Oryzias latipes: one gene and its partners. The protein of the gene in region 1 interacts with the protein of each later gene in a biochemical or structural test. Links are inferred from orthologs where the notes say so. Each region holds a gene or a part of one and is shown on either strand. Other genes may lie near its edges.

The links.
Region 2: the proteins of rab6a (region 1) and kif20a form a complex in vitro, tested with the Homo sapiens proteins (2 studies listed by BioGRID). The link is inferred for Oryzias latipes from reciprocal best matches to the Homo sapiens genes RAB6A and KIF20A.
Region 3: the proteins of rab6a (region 1) and protein bicaudal D homolog 1 form a complex in vitro, tested with the Homo sapiens proteins (3 studies listed by BioGRID). The link is inferred for Oryzias latipes from reciprocal best matches to the Homo sapiens genes RAB6A and BICD1.
Region 4: the proteins of rab6a (region 1) and ocrl form a complex in vitro, tested with the Homo sapiens proteins (2 studies listed by BioGRID and IntAct, with this or other methods). The link is inferred for Oryzias latipes from reciprocal best matches to the Homo sapiens genes RAB6A and OCRL.

The regions. Positions count from the first base shown.
Region 1 is NC_019872.2:16,402,688-16,408,609, forward strand, and holds the start of rab6a (ras-related protein Rab-6A), read left to right. Parts: upstream 1-2,232; 5' UTR 2,233-2,480; coding exon 2,481-2,550; intron 2,551-2,809; exon of another isoform or gene 2,810-2,829; intron 2,830-4,137; coding exon 4,138-4,196; intron 4,197-4,296; coding exon 4,297-4,350; intron 4,351-4,967; coding exon 4,968-5,073; intron 5,074-5,183; coding exon 5,184-5,295; intron 5,296-5,510; coding exon 5,511-5,604; intron 5,605-5,922. UniProt on the Homo sapiens protein: The small GTPases Rab are key regulators of intracellular membrane trafficking, from the formation of transport vesicles to their fusion with membranes.
Region 2 is NC_019872.2:14,186,798-14,190,852, forward strand, and holds the end of kif20a (kinesin-like protein KIF20A), read left to right. Parts: coding exon 1-82; intron 83-182; coding exon 183-294; intron 295-368; coding exon 369-443; intron 444-520; coding exon 521-661; intron 662-763; coding exon 764-932; intron 933-1,020; coding exon 1,021-1,173; intron 1,174-1,369; coding exon 1,370-1,509; intron 1,510-1,706; coding exon 1,707-1,809; intron 1,810-1,921; coding exon 1,922-2,120; intron 2,121-2,203; coding exon 2,204-2,295; intron 2,296-2,371; coding exon 2,372-2,509; intron 2,510-2,895; coding exon 2,896-3,255; 3' UTR 3,256-3,555; downstream 3,556-4,055. UniProt on the Homo sapiens protein: Mitotic kinesin required for chromosome passenger complex (CPC)-mediated cytokinesis. Following phosphorylation by PLK1, involved in recruitment of PLK1 to the central spindle. Interacts with guanosine triphosphate (GTP)-bound forms of RAB6A and RAB6B.
Region 3 is NC_019864.2:29,416,603-29,421,036, reverse strand, and holds part of protein bicaudal D homolog 1, read left to right. Parts: intron 1-4,265; coding exon 4,266-4,434. UniProt on the Homo sapiens protein: Regulates coat complex coatomer protein I (COPI)-independent Golgi-endoplasmic reticulum transport by recruiting the dynein-dynactin motor complex.
Region 4 is NC_019868.2:9,852,000-9,856,433, reverse strand, and holds part of ocrl (inositol polyphosphate 5-phosphatase OCRL-1), read right to left. Parts: intron 3,557-4,434; coding exon 3,380-3,556; intron 3,252-3,379; coding exon 3,002-3,251; intron 2,916-3,001; coding exon 2,775-2,915; intron 2,707-2,774; coding exon 2,605-2,706; intron 2,496-2,604; coding exon 2,381-2,495; intron 1,517-2,380; coding exon 1,400-1,516; intron 1,312-1,399; coding exon 1,130-1,311; intron 583-1,129; coding exon 471-582; intron 232-470; coding exon 122-231; intron 1-121. UniProt on the Homo sapiens protein: Catalyzes the hydrolysis of the 5-position phosphate of phosphatidylinositol 4,5-bisphosphate (PtdIns(4,5)P2) and phosphatidylinositol-3,4,5-bisphosphate (PtdIns(3,4,5)P3), with the greatest catalytic activity towards PtdIns(4,5)P2.

The DNA of each region.
Region 1 (5,922 bases):
CACAACATCAAACAAGTGAATCCAGGAGGTGGATTGAATATTTGTCACTCTAGCATTTTACACTTATTTAGCTGACATTTCAATTTACCCCTTTTTTTCCTGACCCAATGCCTTTGCCCTTCCTGTTTTTCCTGTCTTGTCCTTTCTTCATGTCCTCCACACATCCTACAGTAATCCTTCATTCTCTCCCTGTCCCAAGAGAAATGAGCACTGTGTTGTACTTTACTGTGACATTGAAAGCTGCAGTCATTACACTTACATGAAGGTGGATCGGAAAAGTGATGATCGCCCTGCACTAAGCCCACAGATGCAGGGAGATGGATCCAATTAAATTAACCTGCTCACATCTAGCAGATAAACACTTTTTATCTTCCTAAAAAGAAAAACAAAAAGCCAAACAAGAGAATCCTACATTCAAAACGAAGAACTCCATGGAGTCATTTCCAATCTGTGAGTCATAACAGGTCTTTCCCATCTCAACGACTCAAAATTTGCCGAAGTAAATGATGCACTGACAAAGCATGTGACCAACACACCAGCATGAAGTCATAGCTGGAAGTGGTTCATTATTCAATTCATTATTGCTGCCCCTCTGTTCAATTGTGCGACTTTCAATTACAATTACAACTTTTTCTAATTTATTCTGCAGAATTAGATGTTCTTGCTATGCTTTGAAATAGTGGGACCACCTTCCCATTATCAATACATAACTGTTAACGTAAAAAAAAATGCACAAAAAAATTCCCCCTCACATGTGGAAGACAGGGAAAGAGCAGGACATGCTGTGGGGAGACAAATAGATTTTGTCGTTTCAGCATCTTCTGAGGGAATGGGAGGAGGTCTTTCCCCTCACCAAGGACATTAGCGGTACAAGGGCTAAAAGAAGAGAAGACGGGCAAGCTAGTGAACCATGATGGCTCCACTTCAGCTCCGCTTTTGGTCACAAACCTTGCAGCTGAAGTGCCAGCATCAGCTGATAAATGCTGTAAGAGGAGCTGGACGACACAAGAATGAAAGAGGGGCGCAGGTGTGTGCATTCTCTTAACTGACCTAGAACAGCTGAGGTAGGCAGAAATGTGCAGACTGTACTGTAGTAAAACACTACACATGTATTTATGTAAATTATATCTCAAACAATTTTGTATTGCTGCAAAAATTTGGGTTGTATAAAAATAATACAAAATATCAAATTAGGAGAATTTGCAATTAGCCTCATTGCATTAAAGTTATACTCAAATGAGGTTAGACCCAAGGAAACAACAACAATTATATTATACATTAGTTGTAATTACAAATATTACACAGTATGTTGTGTGAATAATCACGATTGTTCAAAGTCTGGACAATAAAGAATCATGCATGTCAAAATTTCATCCCTGGTAAAAAATTCCCATTTTATGTCATTATGATACCAAATGAAACATTAACATTTGTAAAAAGAGTACAAGATTTGATGACTATAAGCTGGTTGGAGAAAAGGATGTTCCACAAAAGCATTACAAATGTCAAAAGCCCTCGGTAATCAGAGCATTTTAACAACCAGGAATTTTTGAAAGCAAAAATGTGGAACATATTACAACAGATGTAAAAATCAGAAATTTTCTCAATAAAAGCTTTGACTTTTTTCATACAACTACATGCCATTTTTTTCTAAGCTACTTTTAACAAAAAAATGTTATATTAGATTTATCATAATTCTTTCATCTGGTAAACATAGCAGAACTTCAGCTGTGTACCTGAATAGTCCCCCATGAGACCCCCTTTATAATGACAAAATTTATAACTATTTCTACTATCTCTGCATCAAAACCCAAAATTTTCTGACTTAAAATTTACAAACAATCAATTAAGTCTATACACACTGTTATGTATTTAATAGAGCTCATGCAAGAATTTGGGTTTAATACCTAATATAAATAATTTAGGTTAAAATTTCATTATTGGTATAACTTTTATTCATGGGAAATCAGACGGATTTTAAAAAAAGGAGTCCTGAAAATAGAACATGTGAAATGAATAATAATAATAATAATAATAATAATAATAATAATAATAATAATAATAATAATAATAATAATAATAATAATAATAATAATAATAATGTGGTGTTAGCGCGCCCTCGTATGGAAACATGAAGTAATAAAAAATAGTATGGCATTTTTTTCCCTCCCATCCTTGCTGGTTGAGCACCAGCAGAGGGCGTGGTAGCACTGTTACACACGTATCATACACTGATGTGTCTACAGAAGAAGTGTCTGGAGGGGCTTGCTGGTAGCCATGACAGTCTGAAGTAATGCTCAGTTGGCAGTAATAGTTACCGACTTATCTGAAAGTGTGTTGGAGCTTAAAGGAGTTGTCATTGATTACCAAACTTTGTTTCTGAACTTTACGTATACCATACACTTGATAACAGACAATAGCTACTTAGTTAGAATTAATACTTAAGGGCGCCTTCTGGGTTCGTTTTTGGTTCCGTCGACATGTCTGGGGCCGGAGACTTCGGGAACCCTTTAAGGAAATTTAAACTGGTCTTCCTCGGGGAACAAAGTGGTAAGTTTTTCTCGTTACGGTTCCCTTTACGAGGAATGTATGTTATCAATATTATTGTGATAAACTTTCCTTTTGAAAACCAGAGTTTAACGGGATGCCTGGTTTTTCTTCCGCTTTGTAGTTAGCTAGCTAACATTAGCTGCGTTTACTTGAAACCGGATAAAAACACTGCTGATCATGCTGCCTGTAGTGTGGACGCGGACTCCGAGGATAATCACAGATCATTCTTCACGTTTTGATCATGTAATTCATTGTGTTTGCTGACTTGTCTTTTCACTGGTAAGATGTAACATGTTAAGAGTGGAAAGTTGTAAATTATTAAGAAGTAGTAGACAGTATATTATTTATTATGAGGCTGTTTCTTAACCTAGCAAATAATAGGCTAACTTACATGATGTATTTTTATTAAGATAAAGTGTTGTCCTAATCAATTTGTTTATTTTATTTATTTATGGTATGTTACCCTTCTAAATTCCTATAGTCCGCGTGAGCACAGGAAGATAACTCACTCTACCATACTCGCAAGAGTTTCCTTAAAAGCACACAGTAAGGATCCTAGATCCTTCCTCCGTTCAGCAACCTCCTGGTGGGTTTAGAATGTTTTCATTTGAACATTAAGTATTTGAAGGACCTATAATATTTATATCTAATGTTTTTATAATGGGATTTCTCCTAAGTGATTACTTCCAGGATTAGAACCAACAACCGTCTTACAGTCACAAACCATCACACATTTAATTTGTTTATATTTATTTTAGACTTTATTTATCTACAAATGTACAATTTATCTACATGCATACATGTTTTGCATTCAGAACATTTTCTGCCTAAGTGTTAGACTCAGAGCTTTCAGTAAGATAGTTATGATCACGTCCATATATCCGCTTTCATAAACCTGCTGGGAATTGAGTAACATAATAGAAATGTGGAGTAATACAGAGTAGAAGTGTTTCATCCTACGGAACGAGTCATCCAAAAAAAGCCGATAGTTATCGTCTGTGACCTCTGTGAACAGTCATGTTGGCCTGAGCCATGTCACTGTCCCCCTTGTCGCTCATTGAAACTGATAACGTAACTCGAGTAATAAACAGTCTTAGGACAGGAAGGATTGCCTAACATGGATATCCACTTCAATTGATTATTTTTTTAAAGAAATGTCATAAAGTCTGAACAGGTGATCATTAACATACTGTTTTTTATTTAGGATATGCCATGTTTGGGTCAATCTAGGCCACAATATTTAGAAATTCACACACAAAAAAATCCTGTTTTGAATACCTAGACCCCAGTCCTTTCTTCCGACTGTTCCTCAACCCTCCATTTTAAAATAATGTCATTCCATATCTTAAAAAACTGGACTATATGGATGCATTCTCTAAACACTTATCGTAGTTATCATATAGGGGTTATTTCTACACCCATTTGTTGATTCGACGTAATAAAATGTAAATCCGTTACTTGATAAAACCTGTGTTCCTTTCTTAAAAAAATCTACATTTTGTGCTCAATATTAAACAAAAAAATTAAATCAATGCATATAGATATTGAAAAGTTCAATTTTTCCCTTAATCTTTATTTCTGTTTTAGTGGGAAAGACTTCGTTGATTACCAGGTTCATGTATGACAGCTTTGACAACACATACCAAGTAAGACTGCCTGTTTTCCTAAGCATTAATGTACCTTGTATTTTGTCGTGTTAATTTAAAGCAATTATAGCTGTATAATGAAGTTCTTTTTCTCTTTCAGGCCACAATAGGAATAGATTTCCTATCAAAAACCATGTACCTTGAAGACAGAACAGTAAGTTTTGTGTGTTTCCTATCCTAACTTGTAAATCCTGTTTGTTGTTTTGATTGGCGTGGGTTTTGTGTGAAGGCCATGCAAAGCCGAATCACCTCACACGGTCGGTGAGCTTTTGTACAACTGATCTGACTGGTTAAGCGCCTGACTTTTTAAGTGTTCACTTCAAAAAGCACATGTAGAACATTGTAGTGTCCTGTTGTACCGTCGGGACAGGCCTCACTGTATTCTTTTTCCCTCAACTGAAGTTTTCTTCCTCTCCTTTCCTTTCCATCATCTATTAATCATCACATTTCTTTTAAATGAAACACCTTACTTGGTCAATAGAGGGGGTGACAAATGAAAGGTGACTGTTTATTTCTTTCCCCCCCAGGCCCAGACAGCTTACTCTCTCTGATGGTCATTCCCAACATGCACGTGTTACTTCTTTTCTATTCACTTTCTGTTTTTTCTTTTTTTTTTCTCCATTAGTCTGAAAGAATTTTCTTTCAATATTCGTTTTGGCCGCGTTGACTGGGTCCTTTATCTGTTTGTTTTCATCTTGATTTTGTGTTTTATTTCTTTTTTATTTTTTTCTTCTCTTTCATTTTTCATTTCATCCTCTTCCTGCCCCACAGATCAGGTTGCAGCTGTGGGACACAGCAGGACAAGAGCGCTTTCGCAGCCTCATCCCAAGTTATATTAGAGACTCTGCTGCCGCTGTTGTTGTGTACGACATCACGAGTGAGTGATTTAGCATCACTAGACTGATGGGACTTCTGTGCTGCGATCCAGCAGCTTTCACAGCTAAGCTACCTCACTGAATTTGGGATGAACTTTTGTCTCTCTGTCAGACGTTAACTCTTTCCAGCAAACCACAAAATGGATTGATGACGTTAGAACAGAGAGAGGAAGTGATGTCATCATCATGTTGGTGGGAAACAAGACAGACCTGGCTGACAAAAGGTAATTTCTTGCATCTTCTGTGCAGGCTTTCCCTTTTGAAGTCACATTTCGACTGATGACCCTGTTTTTCTGTGTTCTTCAGGATAACCAAAGCTATTGTTTATTTGACATTTTCCATGATTGCAAATGTTTACAATGATGCATTTGATTGACTTGTTAAGCGACGCTGTGTTTTGTCTAGTTGTGTATCTTTTCAACACCTTTATCTACCACAGGCAAGTTTCTATTGAAGAGGGCGAACGGAAAGCCAAAGAACTAAATGTAATGTTTATTGAGACTAGTGCGAAAGCGGGCTACAACGTAAAGCAGGTAAAGTTGTGTGTCAGTCGTGCTCTGTAGTCCTGCTGCCGATGCTGCCCTGGGCTTCAACTCCAGAAGCCTCAAATATCTCTAATAATCTGTGATCGCTGACATGATGACAGATCATTAGTGATTAAGCATTGACTACAAATCTGATTATTTCTAAAAATGTGATGGCATCGTTTGGTTAGAGAATCTAAATCTTGTCTTAAATGCATCTCTAGTGCTGGCTGTGGACTCATGAGGCTTCTGGTCTTCTGGTCTGGTGGCAGTAGCAGCGCAGCAGGAAGGGGCACGGCTTTCCAGTGTACTGTCAAATAATTATAG
Region 2 (4,055 bases), about 2.2 Mb from region 1:
GATACCTCACTCTCCCTGCAGTCCCGAAAAAGAATCACACTGCGGCTGAGTGACGACAAGCAGGGCAACCCCTACGTGAAAGGTAACACCAGCTGGTCCTCTGGAACAAGTCTCTGCTTTGTGTTTGACTGTATAACATGTATACATAACGTTGAGTTCTTCTTCCCCTTTCATCGCCACAGACCTTACCTGGATCCAGGTGCGGAGCGCAGAAGAAGCCTGGAAGGTTTTAAAAGCTGGATGTCGAAACCAGAGCTTTGCCAGCACTCATCTTAATCAAAACTCCAGCAGAAGGTAGGACCCCAGCAAGAGGTTTTCTGTTTTGAATTCTTTTTGTAGCATATCTAATGGTTAATTCATGAATTCAGCCACAGCATCTTTTCCATCCGCGTTCTGCACGTCCACCCCGATGCAGTTCCAGGGCAAGCTTTGCAAATCAGCGAGTAAGTTCAGCTGCAGCAAGCTCAAACTCAGTGACATTATTTTGGGCGCTGCCATGTTTTGATCATGCACTTTCCAGGCTGACTGTGTGTGATCTGGCCGGATCTGAACGCTGCAAAGAGCAGCGTCTTGGAGAAAGGATGAAGGAAGCCACCAACATCAACACCTCCCTTATGACCCTGGGGCGCTGTATCAGCGCCCTGAGGCACAACCAGAACAAGTAGGTGTAAAACTGACACTTTGGTTGGACCGAGCAGAACAAAATGTGGGAGCTGAGTTGTTGAGTGAGGGATATTCAAAGTATTTTGTATCCCGTCAATAGATCACGGCCACCTCAAGTGGTACCCTTTAGGGACAGCAAACTGACGCGCGTCCTGCAGGGCTTCTTCTGTGGGCGGGGAACCTCTTGCATGGTGGTCAACATCAACCCATGTGCTTCCACCTACGACGAAACCCTTCAGGTCCTCAAGTTCTCTGCAATTGCGACGCAGGTCAGAAAACGAGTCCTTTACCTCGACAACTGGACTGGTTTAGCACTGCATAAAAGGACAAAAATGAAATAAAACCGTTCTTTTGCAGCTCGTCCACGGCCCATCTACTAAGACCAGAGTGGCCTACATTCTGTCCATGCTTCGTGAGCAAACGGCCAACAGGAACGAAAGCACTGTGATGGAGGAAGAAGAGGAAGAAAGTGATGTTGAAGACGGAGACATCACCATGTTAAACACTGAGGTAAATGTGTTGGATCTATTCCTGGTGTTCTGTTTTATCTCTGACCTTAAAAAAGATGTAATTTTCTTCTGAGAAATCTGATTTCACTTTGAGTGTTACAACATTTTGCAAGTGTTATGGAATATTTAAGATGAACATCTCATATCTGAAAAATTGTTCCCATTTTTAAATAGTTTAAATGTTTTACATTTTTAAGACTTTGCTGCAAGCAATTGATGTCCTAAAGCGAGAAGTGCGGCGCCAGCGTGAAGAGAAAGTGGCTCTGGAGGCCAACGTGAGGGAGCAGGTGGTCTCTGAGATGATGGAAGTCATCACCAACATGCAGGAAGGTTTCAAGTATGTGTTTTTTGAATAACAATCAGAATTAGTTGTCAATAAAAGTCAGTTGGGGTCAGTTGAATTTAAACTATCAAAAGAAACATTACATCCATGATTCTTTTTTGTGTCAGTGACTCAAAAGTAAAAGTATGCAATAAGTACACGTTTTTCTTTGTTGAGACGGCTTCAGGTGCTTAGCAGTTGCTTTCTTTTAGGGAAACCCTAGAGACTGAGAAAGGTCTGATTGAAGAGCTGTATGAAAACAAGATCGCCTGCCTGCAGAAACATCTGCAGAAATTCTACAGCCGAGAGCTCGAGGTCAGACTTGGATTTTCTATTTTTTTTTTTTTAACAGTTATAGGTTTTGTTTCCTCATAGAGGGTCAGGGTAACCCCCATGTGTCTAAAATCACTGTATGGATGTTTCATAGGAGCGGGATCAGGAGATTGAGGCTTTAAAGGCAGCTCTAAAAGAACAAAAGAAGGCAGCGGAAGGACCGGTCTCTATGCTGGAGCCTTTAGGAGACTCTGATTGTCCTCGGCGGTCGCAGCGGCTCAGCTCCAACGACGTCTGCAGACTGCGAGCTGAACTTGAACAGTGTCGCATCGAGCTTTTCGCCAAGACTCAAGGTAATTCATTTTTTCATGCATGTTTAAAAAGGTTATGTGAAATCGGCTAAATATTGAGTGTCTTAATCTGTTTGAATGCGCAGAACTAATGAAGCTGAGGGCGCAGTCCGAAGTGCCTGGTTCAGCTGGAACTGTCACTGGTGCAGCTGAGCGCAAGCTGCAGGGCTGTCAAAGGGTCAGTCCACTGTCGACTTCTTTTTTTTTTTTCCATTTGTGATTTGTACGAATAAAGGTGATTCATTCTCCAACAGAACCTGCGGCAGCTGCGTCTGGACTTGCTGAGGCTGGGAGAGGAGCTGCAGTCTGGGGAGAGAGCCTGCTGTCGCAACACGGGCGGGGAGAGGCTGCGCCACACATTAACGGCTGCAGATGAGACACTTGTTAAGCAGGTACAGCCGCTTACAGCCAGGAGAGCTTAATCCCTCTGTACACTCTGACTCTCTTGGTGTGCTCGGTCTTCTGTAGCAGGAAAAAAAGGCTTAAAATATGTGCCATTACACTTTCTTAGCTTTTCATGTCAGATGTGAGCAAGCCATCATTACAGCATTTAGAACGTAACTGTTCAGGTGTTTAATTCTCTTTAAATCTCTTTCTTCCCCCCTAAATTCTCTCTTTAACCCCTTGTCATGCACAGGCATCTTTAAAACTAAACCTAGGGTTCTAACACGTTCTCCTGGTGGCGTACTACAGCATGCTGCACTGTTGTCTTACTTCCTCCCCACGTTCAACCGCATCTCCTCCTCTAGTCTCATCTAACCAACTGACTTCTTCTTAGAACCAGATCCTGACGGAGCTGCAGAATGGCCTGATGTTGGTCAAAGCTGAGCTACGGCGCAAAGCGGAGACCCAGATGGGCCGCCCTGAGCTGCAACCGGCGGGCTTCGCCACGCCCACCACATCGGGCTTCTGTAAAAAGCGGGGCTGCACGCCCACCGGCGACACGGAAAACCGCCCGCCACAGAAGCGTCCCTTTTTCCAGTCCCTGTTCCCGCCGCGAACCCCAACACCCAGATACTGCACCCGCGGCGCCGAAGAAGCCAACGCCACCCCATACATGCGGGTTCTAAGGTCACGCCAACAGACCCCCCCTCCTAGCCCAGTCCTCACGCCTCGTAGTGTCAGAGCGAAGCACTGAGCTGAAATTCTCACATCATTCAAAAGAAAAGTTGCTGGTTATCTTTATACTGTTCTCATACGTTAATCGCCTGCTTTTTGCTTAACTTGCTGCCGTGCCAGATAGTTACTTTATAAGCCAGTAAAGCTGCAGGAGACAAAAGGAAACTGATGTGTGTAAGAACATCAAAGTACAAGCTTCTGAAGTAAAAAAGTTTATTTCTGATTCCATTGACTTTAATAAAAGTAAAGTGTAATGGAAGCTCATGTTTGCAGTAACTTTTAAACTGTTTTGAATAAAAATGAAACGGCTTTGATCTTATTTTGATTCAAAAATGTGTTACTGATTCATTGGAAGAAACCTATACGTTTTGGGTTTTTTTAACTGGCATTTCCAAGTGCTTGCCGTAAGTTTTTAAAGGAAAAATAAATGTATTTTTTCTTTTTCTGGTGAGGAACTTGATCCAGTTGTCCTCAAACATTATCAGCTTGACTGCAGTGTTTCCATGACCAAAGACACCTTTTTTTGGGAGGTAGGGATGCTCTTTAGCTAATAAGCTTTAATATATAATTATATGCTGCATGGATCTGTGTTTATGTAAATATTTCACATCCTTCTCAATGTCTGGTTTTGCACATTAGTATTTAGCCAGTTTGGTCTGAATAAAATGGGATTCATAAAAAATGGTTTGCATGTATTTAATGTGAGAATGTAAGAAAAGTTTCACACATTTATTTATTTTTCCCAACAAATAGCACGTTTCTGTTTGTACACTGGTAGCAAAAATGCATCATATGTTGTCCAGAATTGCCTTTAAGTGA
Region 3 (4,434 bases), on another chromosome or scaffold:
AGTGGGAGCATTTAGATGTTAAATAGAGGTGGACCCAGGACGGAGCCTTGGGGAACTCCATTTATATTTAACATGCTGGTTCAGATGTAAAATAGACACAAAACATTTCCTGTTTTCCAAGTACTTTTTGGCCAAATAGTGTTTGAAAACATGATTGTACAAGTTCTGCACTGTGAGTCCAGCCTCTTGTATAACTTCCCACTGTCTGTCCTAAAATATTAAATTTGGACTACCATTCGTGCTTGCTCGCCAAAGCTTCCCCTCATAGACTCTGTCACATGTTAACCCTTAGTAGCCCAGAGTTTCACAGTTTGCTGGAATGATTGACCTTTAAAATAGTTTTTATGGCAATGCTTGATATGTCTTTTTAGCAGAACCACAGAATTTCTTTTTTTACTAACAAATGTTTTATTAAATCACACAATAATTGCATGATAAACTTGAAACTGAACAGGAAAAAAAGTGAACTGTTACATATTGTTAGTTATTTACTGCAAAACTGAGATTAATTTAAACATTTTTTTTAAATGTACAAACAAAATGACAATAAGAAAATCCAAAAACAAAGCTAAAACAATGTAAAAAATAAACATGCAGGGAAAAAAAGACAACAGTATAAACTATGTAAATGTTCTAAGGATATATTCCGAGTTGTGTCATAATTATGCATCAAAGCTCCCTTTATGTTTGTTTTATACCAAAACTTTCAAAGCAAAATACCTTCCGGCATCATTTAAACAAACCATGTGATTGACAAATGCACCGATGAGAGCAGAGACTACTAAGGGTTTCACATCCCATAACAAGGAAAGTTTGAATCAAAACAATGATTCCTCTATTTCTTTTCAATGGTAAATAAAATAAATTCCAGCTGGAGACCTCCTCGATTCCTCATTATCGCCCGGAGCTCACAGGAAAGGACTGGTCCTCCCTGCTCCTCCCCCCTTACACTGCTTTGCTGCTCCTGCTATCGCCCCAGGGATGAATATTTTCATAGAGGGGCCCCGTTGTCTGGACTTCCACTATTAAGGCATACTGAACACAAAATGATGCGTTCAATGCAAAGATCCAAAGAGATCAATGAGGGGCTCCATCATTCTCGTCTTGAAAAAAAAAAATTTCCACTGCAGAAGGACCCCCCCCCAGAGTTGGAGATGCGTCTCTATACAGCATTTGGTGTCATCGCTGACACACAGCACAGTTCTGTCGCTGTTATTTTTGCCTGTAGACGTCATATGGGGGCAAAGCAGACAGGAGTAAACAGGAAGTCATTGCCATCATTGCAGTTCCCTGACGTTTTCTCCAAGCAGCTCGCAGATGGAGGAGAGGACCTGGAGAATTGTGGTTCATCCCGTGAAGGAGGGCTTTTATGAAACCATCTGCCTCTCATTATGCATCTAAGAGCCACTGCTTCTTTGGATGAGTAGCTTCTGATTCATCATCGGAAATTCTGTTTCTGGCCTGTTTAGCATCGACTAAACCAAAAAGAAGTCTCCGTCATCTTGGCTTTTATCAGGTCACTAATGCATTATGCTGTAATTTATCAGTCATATTTGTGCTTAGGATGAAGCTGGAAGCTTAAATGAGCACCAACAGGAATGGCAACTTTTGTCTGTGCTGTTTGGATGCCAGATCCTTTCTAGCCCAGGAGCAGAAACCCTCTCAAATTGGTTCTTGGTTGCCTGGCAACCAAGAAAACCCCATCCCACTCCAAATGATCAGTTTTCACCTCGCAAATGTGGGGTGAAAATGTCCTTCCACACACCTGCGGGGCTCAGATGTTTTGCTGCGGGGCTTAAACGGGACGTCCAGCGCGGGAGTGCGAGCTCATTCAGGGGGCCTGTGGGCAGAATTAATCAGTGGATTTGTTCCAACAGGCTTTTTCTCCCATTCTACACCACAATCCCACTGTGCTTCCCTGGAGAGCAACAGAGGGCACTGTGGGCCCAGCAAGGGAGGGGGAACGAGCGAAAAATAAAAGAGTAACAGATGTGTAGAGACCGGGAGGGGAAAAAAAGGAAGATTTTCATTCTTTTGGTGGATATAAAGCAAATCCCAGAGGGCATCGTTTTGTGTATTGACATGCCTTTTACAGGGCTGGAGATTGCTCCCCTCATTCAAATGCTAAGCGCTCCTTTGTAATTCAAAGGCTTCACACAAATTTAAATATCCTACAGTTGAGTGAATTAATATCACTTCCTCGCCATGAATCAAATTCAACACATTGGTTCACTGGAATAGGAACGATCTGATCGGCCACACAGTGCAACCTATCTAGATCTACCGTTTACCTCTCATTCATGTTAATCTGTTGGTTCCTTACGACGATGTTCTAAAAGTAGGTCAAATGCATTTATTTAGCCCCGTTTCCACTGAGTGGTATGGTCCGGTCCAGTTTAGAATGGTCCAGGCAATTCAGGTGAGTGTTTCCACTCAAAGTTGGACCGTCATAACGACAACAACGGAGGTCAGCTCAGTTTTTTCCGCTTGGCTTTTGGTTCTTCGTTGATGCAAATAATTTCATGTTGTGTGAGAGAAGACTGCGGGCGGCGAAGAGGAAAAGAACTGCTTTCTCTGAGCTTTTTTTTTTCGTAATCAATGGGTTTCAACAGTATCTCCGCCCTTACCGGTTCATTCCATTTTTCTATGGACCTTCAACCAACGGGGCCTTAAAAAATGGTCCAGCTTAATGGAAACGCTAAAAATACCGGACTGGAGTTGACCGTACCATACCGCTCAGTGGAAACGAGGCATATGAGAACTGGAACGAGGGAGTGTGATGTCACCCATAGAAAATGGTTTACTTCAGGCCTCAAGTCAATTAGTTGCTATTTTTTAGTGATGTGGATGCCGCCATGTTGGAACCAGACAACATTAGTAAGCAGTGAACGGTCCGAATCAGCCTGTGTCACTGTGCCAAACGCTCTCACCAATCACCCCTACCCCCCCTACATGAAATCTGTCAATCAAGCAGTTTTAATGTTTGACATGGTGGGCCAGCAGTCTCCACCCACTTGTATTAAGGCAACTGACTTCATGGAAGAAGCTGCCGAGTCAAATTTGACCACTTTGTTTTTGGTTTTTTTGTAATTCTTTCATCTAAATTTTTTTTTTGCTCCTTTTAATTGCTGCTACCCAAACTGAACAAACAAAAAAAGAAAATCAAAATAATTTTAAAAGCCCAGAAGAAAATTGTGGTTGCTTCTCCAGGGTTAATCCCTATATCCTTCTTAGACGATTTGTGCATTTAGTTATTACCCATAATCTATCAGGCTGCTGAATGTAGCCTTTCAAATACATATTTATATTGGTTTTGCTATTATGTTTTATTTTTCCTGAATGCATGATGCCTGCCTTAAATTTTGTTTTCTTGTATGATGACATTAAAACATTCTTTTCCATTCTACTTATTGGGATAACCAGTAATTTATCATAATTTTAGTGCCTAAAACTGAAAATAATGTTGTAAAAAAATAATAAAAATGCCTTTTCTTGAATTTTTAGCTCAATTGTTTTTTTTTATTTTGAAACAACAGCAGCAGAGCTACAGTTTTCTGAATGCTACCAGACACTTGCTACTCATGCATTATTCAAATACCATTCTTTGGTTTGGGGGAATACACTTTGCTTGGCTAATTGCAGCTGTGGGAACGATGATTCATCTATCCTTTATATATCTTTATGCGGTCGTTGTAATCCATGAAATATTTTCCACATGCAGCTGTATTGATCCATCGTCTCCCAAAGAGCCCCCTGCCGGCTCCAGAGCCTGTCTTCCTGCTGATGTGCTGAGAAAATCCAGGATGGTTCAGAGGATTTATTGAGCTACTAGAGTATCTGCTGCATGGATGTCAGAGTGTGAGCAGTTTCCACACATGAAAAAAACAAACAGAACAGCAGCATTTTTATTTCCCATAAAGCTTTTGTGCAGAACAATGAAGCCAGATCGAGTGGCTCCGATCCACCTTGATTGGTCTTGTTGATGCCTGCTTTGATTTTCTCAATCAAGCCTCAGCGCCTTTATCGTGACAGGTCAGCCCTGGCGGCTGTGAAAACCTGTGTCAGGAAAACGGGAACACTGTGTCTATTGATCAAATGAAACATCACCCCTGTATAGACTGACAGCAGGTATTTTTGGTGGGAAGTGAGCAGGCCGTGCTGTGGTAGGGGAAGAAGATTTAGCGGCCCCCATAATGTCATTTTAATGATTGCAATTTGCAGAGGCATCATTCTAACGACTTTTCTTTCTTCCTCAACTCACTCAGGCGTTTGGCCAAGCGTACAGCAACCAGCGTAAAGTGGCTGAAGATGGAGAGACCATCGAGGAGACGCTGCTGCAGGAGTCAGCCTCCAAAGAGGCCTACTACATGGGCCGCTTGCTGGAGCTGCAGACGGAGGTGACGTTAAGTCGCTCAGTGGTGTCCAACGCTCAGG
Region 4 (4,434 bases), on another chromosome or scaffold:
ATAGGAATTAAAAGATTAGCTCATGACCAATAAAAAAATACTGTATAAAGCTAAAAATAGGACAAACTTTGTTAGAATTTTACGTCAAAAACAAGTTAAATACAATCCCACTGATATTCACCTTGAATCCCAAAAGTCTGTTTTGGGCTCATACTTGTAGGTGGGTATGAAGTTGATCTCTCCCTCTATGAAGTCAGAGAAGGCCCGTTTTGTTTGTCTCTGAATGCTCAACTGCACAACAGACAAACACAAAACATTGTTCATTCTTGTCACATTCTGTTTCATTCCTTCCTGACAGCCAGCCTTAACAAAAGATTTTTTTTTATTTCCAATGACTTTTCCTGAATCCAAATTTCTATTTCATTTACATTTTTTATTTCATTTTATTGTGATTTTTTTTTCTTGTGTGGCAAGACGGCAAGGTATCAGGGCACAACTAGTTTACAGAAAGCTGTCAGACCCTTTCTTACCTGGTCAAACTTCAGGAGCTGTTTCAGTTTACCCTCAGAAATCATCCGCTTAACGTCACCGCAGTCTTTGTTAAACAGGCGGTAGTTCAGGTCCCCGAGCCAGATTACTACACTAAGACACATAAAAACAGCGTTTTAGTAAACTTAAGTTCAGAAAAATCATATTGGTTTTAAAATGTTGAACCTTTTTAGCACCTGGCATGTCACCGGCAACACCTAAATAACACACACGCCTTGGCATACTGTAACTCTTTGTCTGTATAGGTCAGGGGTCCCCAAATCCAGGCCTCGAGGGCCGGTGTCCTACATGTTTTCCAACCTGCCATTGAAGCTCCTTATTGGCTAAGCACACCTGATCCAGGTAATCAGCAGCAAATAAGGCGGGGGTTTTTTGAAAACCAGCAGGACACCGGCTCTCGAGGCCTGGATTTGGGAACCCCTGGTATAGGTGATCAACCTGGATCAGTTGATTCTAACGTGGAGAAAAGTGGCTTTTCTGATATGCAACACATTACTAACGTAAAGTGTTCCTTAACCATGCAAAGCTGATTTTCTCAGCTTCAAAGCTCCGCTGTTAAACGGTTAACAGTCTGATACAATGGTTACAAATATTTAGATTAAAAAGAGACTAATTTAGAGCTAGACCCTGAGAAACTCACTCGTGTTTGACAATACTGAGAGAAGGAGACCCCGGCATGTTGAAGATCATGCGAGCACAAATGTCTTTGTAGTCCTGATTGCGACGTTCGGTTTCCTCGAGTTTTGCTGCGAGGTGGGAGTTGACGAAGCAGAAGCTCGTGTTGTGGAAAACAAATCGCACTGCAACTCCTCCCTTGTTCCCCTGAAACACACAATGAACGGGTTTGTTATTTAGTGGAAGAAATCTAATTGTGAAAACAGATTTGAATCCAAATAGAAAGTGAACCAACCATTTTCCCCAGAATTCCTGTGCCCACGTGATCCGAAGCTACTTCCGTTATGCTCCGCACATGAATCTTCTTTACAGCAACCACAAGCATCATCCCAACCAACCGGATGATCTGAATCTGTAAAAACCATTACCCAGTGAGCTTAGCAAACTTTTCTTGGCCTATCATATGGGTCTGCAACCTTCAAGAAACAATCGGGTCAATTTCTAACTGATTACCACCCAATAGAAGTCACAAAGTCTTACTTTACCCTTGAAAACAATAAGACACAGCTTTATATTTATGGCATTGTTACTATTATGATAAACATAAATAAACTTGTTTTTCTTCCCGGATAAATAAAACAAAAACATAAAGGGAAAACAGACGTTTTTTTCTTTAAGTTTATAACTTTTAACACTCTGTAGCATATAGGATCATCTCAATGCAGCAAATTTAGAAGTAGGTAGTGAAATGTCAGAAAAATATGCACATTATGTTTTACCGTTGTTTGCTCTACCGTATTTTTTGGACCATAGTGTACTGAAAATAGGAAATCCGCCTAATGCCCCCATGTAGGAATTCTGGTTGTCTTACTGATCTCCAAGTCCGATCTTCTGTGATCCAAAACTCTGTCCAAATGTTTTAGTATGTCTTTGGTAAACTATGAAGTTGCATTGCTTGATGGATTTTTGGAGCATTATGGGTACAGTAGTCAGGAGCCTCCTGGAGTGAAATGTTCCTGCATGCTTCTACTTTTTTTGGGGGAGTTAAATAAAGTTTGACTTGACATTTTTGTTCCGCTGGATGTGCCTTATTGTCCAAAAAGATACATGACATTTTCAATAAAAACGTTTTTCTTTTTCTCCAATCAGAGAGCCACAATAGAGGGGTAAAAGAGCCGCATGTGGCTATGGAGCCTCAGGTTGCAGACCCCTGGTCTTCATCTAGGGCAGTTTTTCTGGAGTTCAAACAGGCGGATCATCCACTTTTAATACTCACTATCTTGTATTTGGCTTTTGGGTGCAAGTTTCGCTCCACAGCATCAATCCAAAGTTGCTCCTTGGATGAATCCATGTAAAGGAAAGCCTCCTTGCTCAGGTCCAGTTCTTGAAAACTAGAGTAAACGAGCGTGTCAAAACTCTGATAGCTCCCCAGGCAGGAGCTGATGGCAACAAATATACTTTTATGTTAAGAATGATTAAGGAAAATGAATATTTACCGACCCTATAGCATAAATATCTGGAGGTTCACGGTCAGAGGACAGCCACGGTCCAAGACTGCTGTCAGGAGAGCGTCCATTTACGTTCCATGTTCCTACAAAAAACCTGCAGAGCAACATTTAGTGAATGGAATGAGACGACAAGCGCAGATCTACCTCAACCAGCTTTTTCACCTGAAATTCTTGATGTCCACATATTCGTTCTCTCTCTTTGACAAGATGTGCTTGAGGAGGATTTCTCTTTGGCCCGTCTGGCTCAGGAACACCGTGTCTCTCATGCTGTTGCTGGTGGGGCTGTCACACCAAGACAGAGATCTGTCCCCCCCCCCCATCAAATTCAAATCAGCAATGTTTTAAAAGGATGAGCTTCCTGTGATGAACCCTTTCTACACCAGACTCACTCTGATTTGGCGCCGCTTATTGCCGAGGTGTCGAAACCCACTGAGGAGGTAGCTTTGCTTTTCATAATGGGAGCGGGGGGAACGGGGTTTGTTGGGGCCGACGGGGTTTTGCGGGGGGGCAGAGAGGGGACAGGTGGAGGTTCTCTGCTAGCAGTGATCCGATTCTGGTGGTTCTTCTTCTCTTCCACTTTGAGAGCGTGGCAAAAGTTCTGCTCGAATCCAAAGTCTGAGGCAAGCGATTGAACTGGATCTTTAAGAAAACGTCACAATGAAGGAGTGGATAAGAAAAAAAACATCATAGGAAGAGTTTTAAGGTTTAGAGGAAGGTAGAGCTTCTGTTGACACATCTTCTTGAATGTGAGTACAGTATCTTGTTACCTGTGTTTTGATTTGTTGAAGTGCTGCTGTTGAAGCCGGTCTGCAGGCTGCCGCTGGATGCAGGCTGGTTGGCCGCAGATCTCCCAGACGCTCTTTGAGGCGGGATGGGAACTGGACTCCTGTGAGTGTTTGGTGGAAGAGGCTCCATTGGTTTGGATTTAATCAATTTCAATGCAGCTGAAAAACATGAGAGGGGGGGGGGATTAATAAATCACCACCACAAAGAAGAAATTCAACCCAAATTCAAACTCTCACTGAGCTTCTGAAAGGAATTAACCTTTAAATGCAGCATCAACCTTTGATAAACAAAGCCAATGACTATGAATTTAGGTTAAAAGTTTGATCTTAGATATTATCATAACCTGCTGCTTACTAATCTAATGAGACAGCGGTGGAACTCTGTTTTTATCTAGATGGGGATCGTTTCATGTACATATTAAGTGGAAATCTATTTTGTTATTAGAATAATAAAAAGCACTTAAAGTTTGGTTATAGTTGGTAATAAAAATAAAAAAAATGGAAGTGAGGGAAGGTGAAGGACCCCTTTGTTTTTCCCTCTACGTGTCTGCATGGTTTGGTCACTTCATTTACAAAGTTTTCCTTTCATACATTTGTGAGGAGACCAAACACTCGCTTCACATTCATCATTTGATCCAAATAAAACAGCATAAACAACATTGTGATTTGTTTTTCCTACAGGTTGCTTAAAGCATTATTACTTAAATTGCTAAATTAGCTTTGTTGGAATCCTTTTAAAAATTCATCTGACGTATTTGTTGTTGCGCAAATGCAATGCAAATTTAAAAATTGGGGATCTTTTTTGTCAGATCACATGGATATCTGTAAATCCAGGTTAATCTCTGCATGTGTACGCATGAAATCAGGGAATAAATTAGCCAAGAAGCAAAGGTGAATCTCAGTGAACATGGATTTGGTGGGAAAACAAAACAAAGCTGGAGGACTTTTTAGTTTTAGTGTTAAAACACGAGAGAGAATAGTAAAGTTAAAAGTAAAAATGAACATGAAAAAAGTAGCAGATTGAAAGAACTGGTTCT